3 linked regions of the Kluyveromyces lactis genome follow. The protein of the gene in region 2 binds, or shares a complex with, the protein of the main gene of each other region. Links are inferred from orthologs where the notes say so. Each region holds a gene or a part of one and is shown on either strand. Other genes may lie near its edges.

Region 1 (2,118 bases), on a different chromosome or scaffold from region 2:
GCAGATACGTTGAATTCAACCTAGTCCTTGACAGAGGTACTCAATTCGGTTTAAGAACTCCAGGATCCCGTGTCGAAAGTATTTTGATGTCTTTGCCTGTGACTGCTTCGTGGTTGTATGACCATCATCCTGAAGTAGACTCTAGAGAAGATAAATTACTCCAAGTATTGAAGAACCCTGTTGAATGGGTTTGAATGCCTTTATTTATGTAACGTCTCATGTATTTAATTCTTAGTTTCTAATGATCTTAATTTCTTACGCTTCAAAAACCAAGTCGGTCGTTAGTACCATACAGCGTTGCACGAAATGGTTCTGTCAGGCCGTCGACAATACTTTTATTTTGTCTTGTTCAATCTATTTGTAGATTTATACATTATATTACACTTTGATTCAGAAGAAGTTTCATCAAACCCTAACAACTTCCTTTTGCGAGCCTAATGAAAGCGTGATCTACCTTTCATCATTTGAAAGATTAAGCATGCGTTTTTAGCTGGGCGAGAGACAAATGGCAGCGATTAAAGCCGAACATTTATCTTCTTGTCAGTTTTTTGCTCTAAGCGATGTAATAACTGCTAAGAAGATCTATAATATTTTGTTTGATGCGTATCGAAATCAAAGTAAATTTCAAAAATACACAATCTCTAGTTCTCTCTCCATTTATGACCACAGTTAACACATTTGTAGAAAGTTGTCATAGGTTCATCTGCAGATCTGATTTGCAACTGGAAGAAGTAAGCTCTTTCACCCGCACATTGGTCATGGTTCGGACATTGTGCTGCTGTCTGGTCAACATTATCCCATGCACCTTCTCCACCTAAGACATCATCAACTTCTTTCCTAGGGAGGTTCTTTCTATCGTATACCTCTATCCCATCAATTAAAAACTGGTATGGGCATGATCCGCATGCTAGTTTATACAGACCTGAATCAGCTTTTGATACCAACAACATGTTATTGCATAATGGGCAAAACGAAAGCATCCTACAACTTAATTCTCAATGTCAGACTCCTCAAACACGATACGTTAACGCACCGTTACCTGCCCATAAGCTCCTTCAACACGTTATCGCATACACTCTAAAATGAACCTCATCGCTATAATTATTGAGAGTAGGTTTTAATTCTTTCCTCATCTCATATAGAAATTTTTCAGAAAAAAAAAAGTAGAGCTTCATGCCTTTAACTTTGAATCGATATTTATGTTGACATTTAAGGTTTGTATGTCAAATATAGTGTATAGGGTTAATACCTGTGGGCGAGGTTTGATAGAAGAACAACTCCCACATTTATAAGTTAGTTTCCATTCTCTAGACTTTAGAGTATTTGATTATCTTGGAGCGGTTAAACCTTGAAAACATGACGAAGAAAGAGTGCAGTGATAATGAGGAAGAAGAAGAAGACATTGATATTGTAAATCACCAAGACATTTTCATATCACCTTCCAAAGTAAGATATCAGTCACCGAAGAAACTTAAAAGTTTTGATTTTCTTTCGCCTTCCAAAACGGTACGACCTAAGTCACCCAAACGATCGCTCACATTAGAGTCTGTTAGCATTGAGACTGAATATAAAGATGAAGAGAGTAGGAAGCACTCATCGACAGATACTGCAACTCCCAGGCGAAGGCAAAGGAAAACAACCAAGAGGGTGAAGTTGGAGGAAGATGATGCCATTGACTATGTGTCAGATACTAATGAATTGATACACAATGACGACGAATACGAGGATCTAAAAATTAAAATAGATTCTAATGAAAGCTCACCTAATAAGTCGCCTAGGAGAAAACTTACATTTAATGCAGAACCATCACCCCAAAGAAAGACTACCAGAAATACAGTTCAAAGGAATAAAATTATAGACGATGATCTTGCATACGACGATATCCAGCAGTATAAGCATCTGAAATTGAACTTGAACCCTAATTTCAAACCGACTAAGTTGCCAAAGAGCGATAATAATGACCAAACATCTGATGAACAATCTCAAATATATTTTTTCGATGGTTTCGAAGGTTTCATAGATCAGACCAAGATCCTAAAAACTGATAAAAGATCCAAGAACTCGATGTCCTCGGCACCAAGTATTTCCAGAGATGAATATAACATTCTTTCTCAACTT
Region 2 (2,792 bases):
AAATGTCTGCAGGAATCCAAAGCTATTGTTAGGTAACTACGTCTTGACGGTAGCTTTGGGTTTATTCCTGGGTATCCTATACTATAATGTTGAAAACGATATCAGTGGATTCCAAAACAGACTAGGCCTTTTCTTCTTTATTTTAACGTATTTCGGTTTCCTGACATTCACTGGGTTAAGCTCCTTCTCTTTGGAAAGATTGATTTTTATCAAGGAACGTTCCAATCATTACTATTCTCCGCTAGCGTATTACATTTCAAAAATACTATCTGATATTATTCCATTACGTGTGGTACCACCTATCCTACTTGGGTTAATACTTTATCCTTTGGTTGGTTTAAATATGAATGATAATGGGTTCTTCAAATTTGAAGGTATTCTAATCTTATTCAACCTTGCCATCTCACTGGAGATTTTGACAGTTGGTATCATTTTTGAAGACTTGAATAACTCGATTATAATCAGTGTTTTGATAATCCTTGGTTCTTTGTTATTCAGTGGATTATTCATCAACACTAAGGATATTAACAATATTCTGTTCAAATATTTGAAGAACCTTTCAGTGTTCTATTACGCCTACGAATCTTTGATTATCAATGAAGTCAAGTCTTTGGTTCTTAGAGAGAAGAAGTATGGTCTCAATATTGAAATCCCAGGTGCCACTATCCTAAGCACATTCGGTTTCATCGTACAAAACCTAGTGTTCGATGTCAAAATACTAGCGCTATTCAATGTCATATTCCTAATATTCGGCTATTTCGCTCTTAAGTTGATAGTTATTGAGCAAAAGTGATCAAAAAATCATGGAGCTTATAAAAAGAGTGACGAACAGCCACTCAAACACAAAATTAGAATCTATTTAATACTGAAAGTTCATATATATTCAAAAGAATACAACTCTTATTACCGTAAGCCTAGTACAGGGAAGTTCATTTATTGATAGAAGTACTTTCATGTATCGGATCTCTTTATGTTCTCCATTGACTATATTGTGTGTATAACTTCCATCTGTTTGCCGCTTTTCTTTTGGAATGGATTCAAAAAAAAAAAACTGATCAAAGCTCAAAATAATAGCACGCGATGAGAAGAGGAATGGTTCAACTTATCGAACTAATAATTGATGAAAGAGTCAGACGCCTGACAAATTTACAAACTGATCTATTGAACCATTATTTAGGCCTACCTCTATTATTGTTAGGAACGCAAACGGTGTATTTTCCTTCGAAACCGATAATGAATTCGTTATTTAATTCAACAATAAAGCTCTCTGATCCAGCCAGAGAGCTGCATGAGAAGATGTGTTCTCAAGAAACTGGTAAATTGTTCTCTCAAAAAGAGTTAACTTCCATGTTAGACAACTGCTCGTTAAGTGATTTAATGCAATATGTTCAGGAACTTTTGGATAAGAATCTATTGAAGTTAGTGAAACAGAATAAAGAACTTAAGTTCCAAGCAGTAGATGCAGCTGAAGCAGAAAAGAAAAGCGGGATGAGCTCAGATGAGGCTCTTGTCTACTCATACATCGAAGCTAGTGGAAGAGAGGGTATATGGACGAAAACGATCAAGGCGAAGACAAATTTACACCAACATGTGGTTCTGAAATGTTTAAAATCACTTGAATCACAGAGGTACGTAAAGAGTGTAAAGAGTGTCAAATACCCAACCAGAAAGATATACATGCTTTACAATTTGCAACCATCCATTGACGTAACAGGTGGTCCGTGGTTCACAGATAGTGAATTGGACGTTGAGTTTATAAACAGTCTTCTGACCATCGTTTGGAGATTCACAGCGGAAAGAACATATCCAAATGGTTTTAACAACTTTTCCGACGAAAACGGTAGAGACGCACTCTATTCCAGTAACGTCAAAAGTTACACCACGATCGAAGAGATCCTTGAATTTATTTCTGAATCAGGAATATCTACAGAACAACTAACGAAACCAGATATTAGATCACTGTGCGAAGTTCTTGTATATGACGATAAGTTGGAGAAAGTATCTTTTGATTGCTTCAGAGTAACGTTGCAAAGTGTCTTACAGATGACTCAACCTGTTGGGGGACAACAAAGTTCGAAAAGAGAAGAATATTCTATATTCAGTCACGGAAATTCCATGGCAGCTTCCAGTTCAGATAAAGATGTCCTATACTTTGACGAATGGACGCTGTGAAGTTTAGATGCAAAGGTAATTTAGTCATAAAAAGAGTGTTCGTAATTGATGTATGTATATATGCCAAGAACTAATTACAAACTAATAATAAAAGCGTTCAACTTATGAGTCTGTTTTTTCTTTCTCAGTGGTTCACTGTGAAGGAGGGTATAACTCATTGAACACTTCTCCCACCATGTTGTTCATGTCAGTAGTTTGCAATTGTCTGCCTACCTTATCATAAGCAGCCCTGCTAGCCATTCTTGTTGCAGTAGATCCGATGAAACAAGATAGCATAGCCATTTTGGACCAAGGAAGATTTTCTCCGTTACCTTCTTCTACTATTGTTTCCAATTTGAAATCATGCACTGCACGAGAGAAACCAAACATGGTTGCGATTATACCGGTCAGTGTGTCACCCTGACCACCACATCTTTTCATAGATCCCTGAACGTCGTTTTCCCAACGTTCACCTTGAGAATTAACGATAATGTCATTTTGTCCCTTTGCAACAGTGATACATCCAAGCTTCTCACTAACTTTTTCCACCGAATCCACGTTCAACGCATTCATGATTCGCTTCAACTCGACTGCATTCGGAGTGATAACGACACGATTATCACCATACCCTTTCAATGCCT
Region 3 (2,256 bases), on a different chromosome or scaffold from region 2:
TGTTTGATTCTGGTGATGGTAAAGCACCAATTGTAGTCGTGAAAAAGCTTCCAGAAGTTGTAGAAGAGAACGTTGACTATTTAGTGATGCAAACTAATTTTACAGGTAAAGTGGACTGGCACGATTTGTTCATCCAATTGAAATCTCAATTCGGATTAAAATCCATCATGGTTGAAGGTGGTGGGATTGTTATCAATGATTTGCTACAGAGACCACACCTTATCGATGCCCTGGTCATCACCGTTGGTGCCACCTTCTTGGGTAGTGAGGGTGTTGAAGTGTCTCCTCTTATTGAAATTAATTTGAAAGATATCTCCTGGTGGAAGGGAACAAGGGATAGCGTGTTATGTTCACGTCTTGTGAGCCATTCCTGATCTTTACCTGTTTTCCTAAAAATTCGAATTCTTATATCAATGAACTCTCTTAATTCAGACATGCTATGTTCAAAACGTGATTAATCATTTCCTTAAATAATTGAAAAAAGAATCGTAATTAGATTATGATATCCCCTGATGGGTTCTCATACGAAGAGTGTGTTTAAGGCCCTATTAGTTTCTCTTGCTCTAATTTGGTCTATTATTATACACACGCATTTACTTTACTTAGGGTTGGGGAATGGCTCTTTTTAATTGCTCTTATAAACAGATTCTGTAACTTGCGTAACGTCCAGAAGTTTCAGACTTTCTAATAATTTTTATAACCTCGCCTCTTTTCAAACCAAGGTATAATGCTACTGGGTCCATTCTTTGGATTCTAGGCAATTGAGATTCCTTTAATCTATATCTTTTTAATAATTCCTTCTTTTCAGCCTCACTTAACCTGATATGCTTTGGGACTAGTTCGTGATGTGTAATATTGACAACCAAAGATGCTTCTGGGAAAGTCTCGATGACTGCTGGTGCTGCAGTTGGTAAAATCTTGTTTGCACTTGGAGTAATACCACTTTGATAGATGAATATACCAGTTTGGAAGTTCTTTTCCGTAATATGAACCACAAAATTCTTCATCGTCTTCACACCAACAGATGCTTCATCACAGAATTCCACCCATAATGAACCCATCTCAGGAAATTTTTCTATTGATTCTTCGGTTGGATTGGACTGGAAAGACATCATCTTACGTTGTGGCTTGCCCATAGAATCACAGTATTTAGCCTTAAAATCTTCTAAACTCAAATCTATTTCCTCCTGGGTAATGAAATATCCACGGTCCCTAACCATTTCCTTCACCGTTTTAAAAGCTCTCCATAGCCTGGAAATGTTTCTCTCCTGCTCTTGATCCATTGTTACAAAAATTGTGCGTCACTTGCCTTTGATATCTTATGAAACTAACTTTTTCCGCTTGAAGATTAGTTCGTATTAAATTCTAAAATGCACAAACAAGTACTAAGAACTCAATTATCGATATGCACAAACAAGTACTAAGAACTCAATTATCGATATGCAAACTAATCTTACCCCTTAATTTCAACCGGTACAAGGACTATTCGGCTACCTAACTTCAATCTTTTCTTAAATTTCAATCAACAAATTAATGGATTTGTTTCTCATCGCTTTCTAAATTTTGGAAAATTTTGGCTGAAAAGAAAAAGAAAAACTTCAACAAACCTTCGAAATTTCAATGCGATGAAAGAAGGAAACAGAGCCAAACCATCAAACTCGTCCTTCATGATTTCAGTCACGTGCCTGTCTTGTGTTGGTATGGAATGCTCTGAGTCAAGGGCGGCAGGTGTAGTTCTATGTTTGTATATATGTCTATATTTAGTTATATATATATATATTGATAAGCCTGGGTGAGAACTTAGTCTCACAGTCTCTCTTAATTTTAAGTCGGTTTACGTCTATATTCAAGAACAATGTCTGTGTTTGATTTCCAGTATAAAGTGCGTATAGCACTCAGGGTGATATCGTTTTCTAGTACTGTTCCTTTGCACAAGATTTCTAACCATTCGCTTGGATCTTCTTTGTTTTTCATCTCAGGTGTCTTTGATTCGAATCTATCCACTATGTAAGTCTTGATCTTTTTTGCCTTTATCATATTTGCAGCTGTTAATCTAACATTGCTATCGTTAATCTTCGGTAGCATTAAGGGTGATTCAGGTGGTTTAGATTTTTTGTGGAACCCTGATCTTTTATGTTCTACTACTAGTCTTTCAGCCTCTGGCGATTGTTGCGTTTCCTCCGATAAATGAGCCTCGTCCTTCCAAGGCTGGATGATGAATGTGATTTTTGGGTACGTCTTAATGACTTTATCCTC

What was found.
Region 1: RPC34 (region 2) and RPC11 share a complex: the UniProt entries of both Saccharomyces cerevisiae proteins name them as parts of the RNA polymerase III (Pol III) complex. The link is inferred for Kluyveromyces lactis from reciprocal best matches to the Saccharomyces cerevisiae genes RPC34 and RPC11.
Region 3: RPC34 (region 2) and RPB5 share a complex: the UniProt entries of both Saccharomyces cerevisiae proteins name them as parts of the RNA polymerase III (Pol III) complex. The link is inferred for Kluyveromyces lactis from reciprocal best matches to the Saccharomyces cerevisiae genes RPC34 and RPB5.

Annotation. Positions count from the first base shown.
Region 1 is NC_006042.1:1,707,678-1,709,795, forward strand, and holds RPC11 (DNA-directed RNA polymerase III core subunit RPC11), read right to left. Parts: upstream 981-2,118; coding exon 642-980; downstream 1-641. Other genes in the region: HEM13 (coproporphyrinogen oxidase), read left to right, coding at 1-194; ORC2 (origin recognition complex subunit 2), read left to right, coding at 1,357-2,118. UniProt on the Saccharomyces cerevisiae protein: DNA-dependent RNA polymerase catalyzes the transcription of DNA into RNA using the four ribonucleoside triphosphates as substrates. Component of RNA polymerase III which synthesizes small RNAs, such as 5S rRNA and tRNAs.
Region 2 is NC_006040.1:383,734-386,525, reverse strand, and holds RPC34 (DNA-directed RNA polymerase III subunit C34), read left to right. Parts: upstream 1-1,080; coding exon 1,081-2,172; downstream 2,173-2,792. Other genes in the region: putative ATP-dependent permease ADP1, read left to right, coding at 1-793; NNR2 (NADHX dehydratase), read right to left, coding at 2,305-2,792. UniProt on the Saccharomyces cerevisiae protein: DNA-dependent RNA polymerase catalyzes the transcription of DNA into RNA using the four ribonucleoside triphosphates as substrates. Specific peripheric component of RNA polymerase III which synthesizes small RNAs, such as 5S rRNA and tRNAs.
Region 3 is NC_006042.1:1,968,605-1,970,860, reverse strand, and holds RPB5 (DNA-directed RNA polymerase core subunit RPB5), read right to left. Parts: upstream 1,284-2,256; coding exon 636-1,283; downstream 1-635. Other genes in the region: RIB7 (2,5-diamino-6-(ribosylamino)-4(3H)-pyrimidinone 5'-phosphate reductase), read left to right, coding at 1-374; DUF1 (Duf1p), read right to left, coding at 1,825-2,256. UniProt on the Saccharomyces cerevisiae protein: DNA-dependent RNA polymerases catalyze the transcription of DNA into RNA using the four ribonucleoside triphosphates as substrates.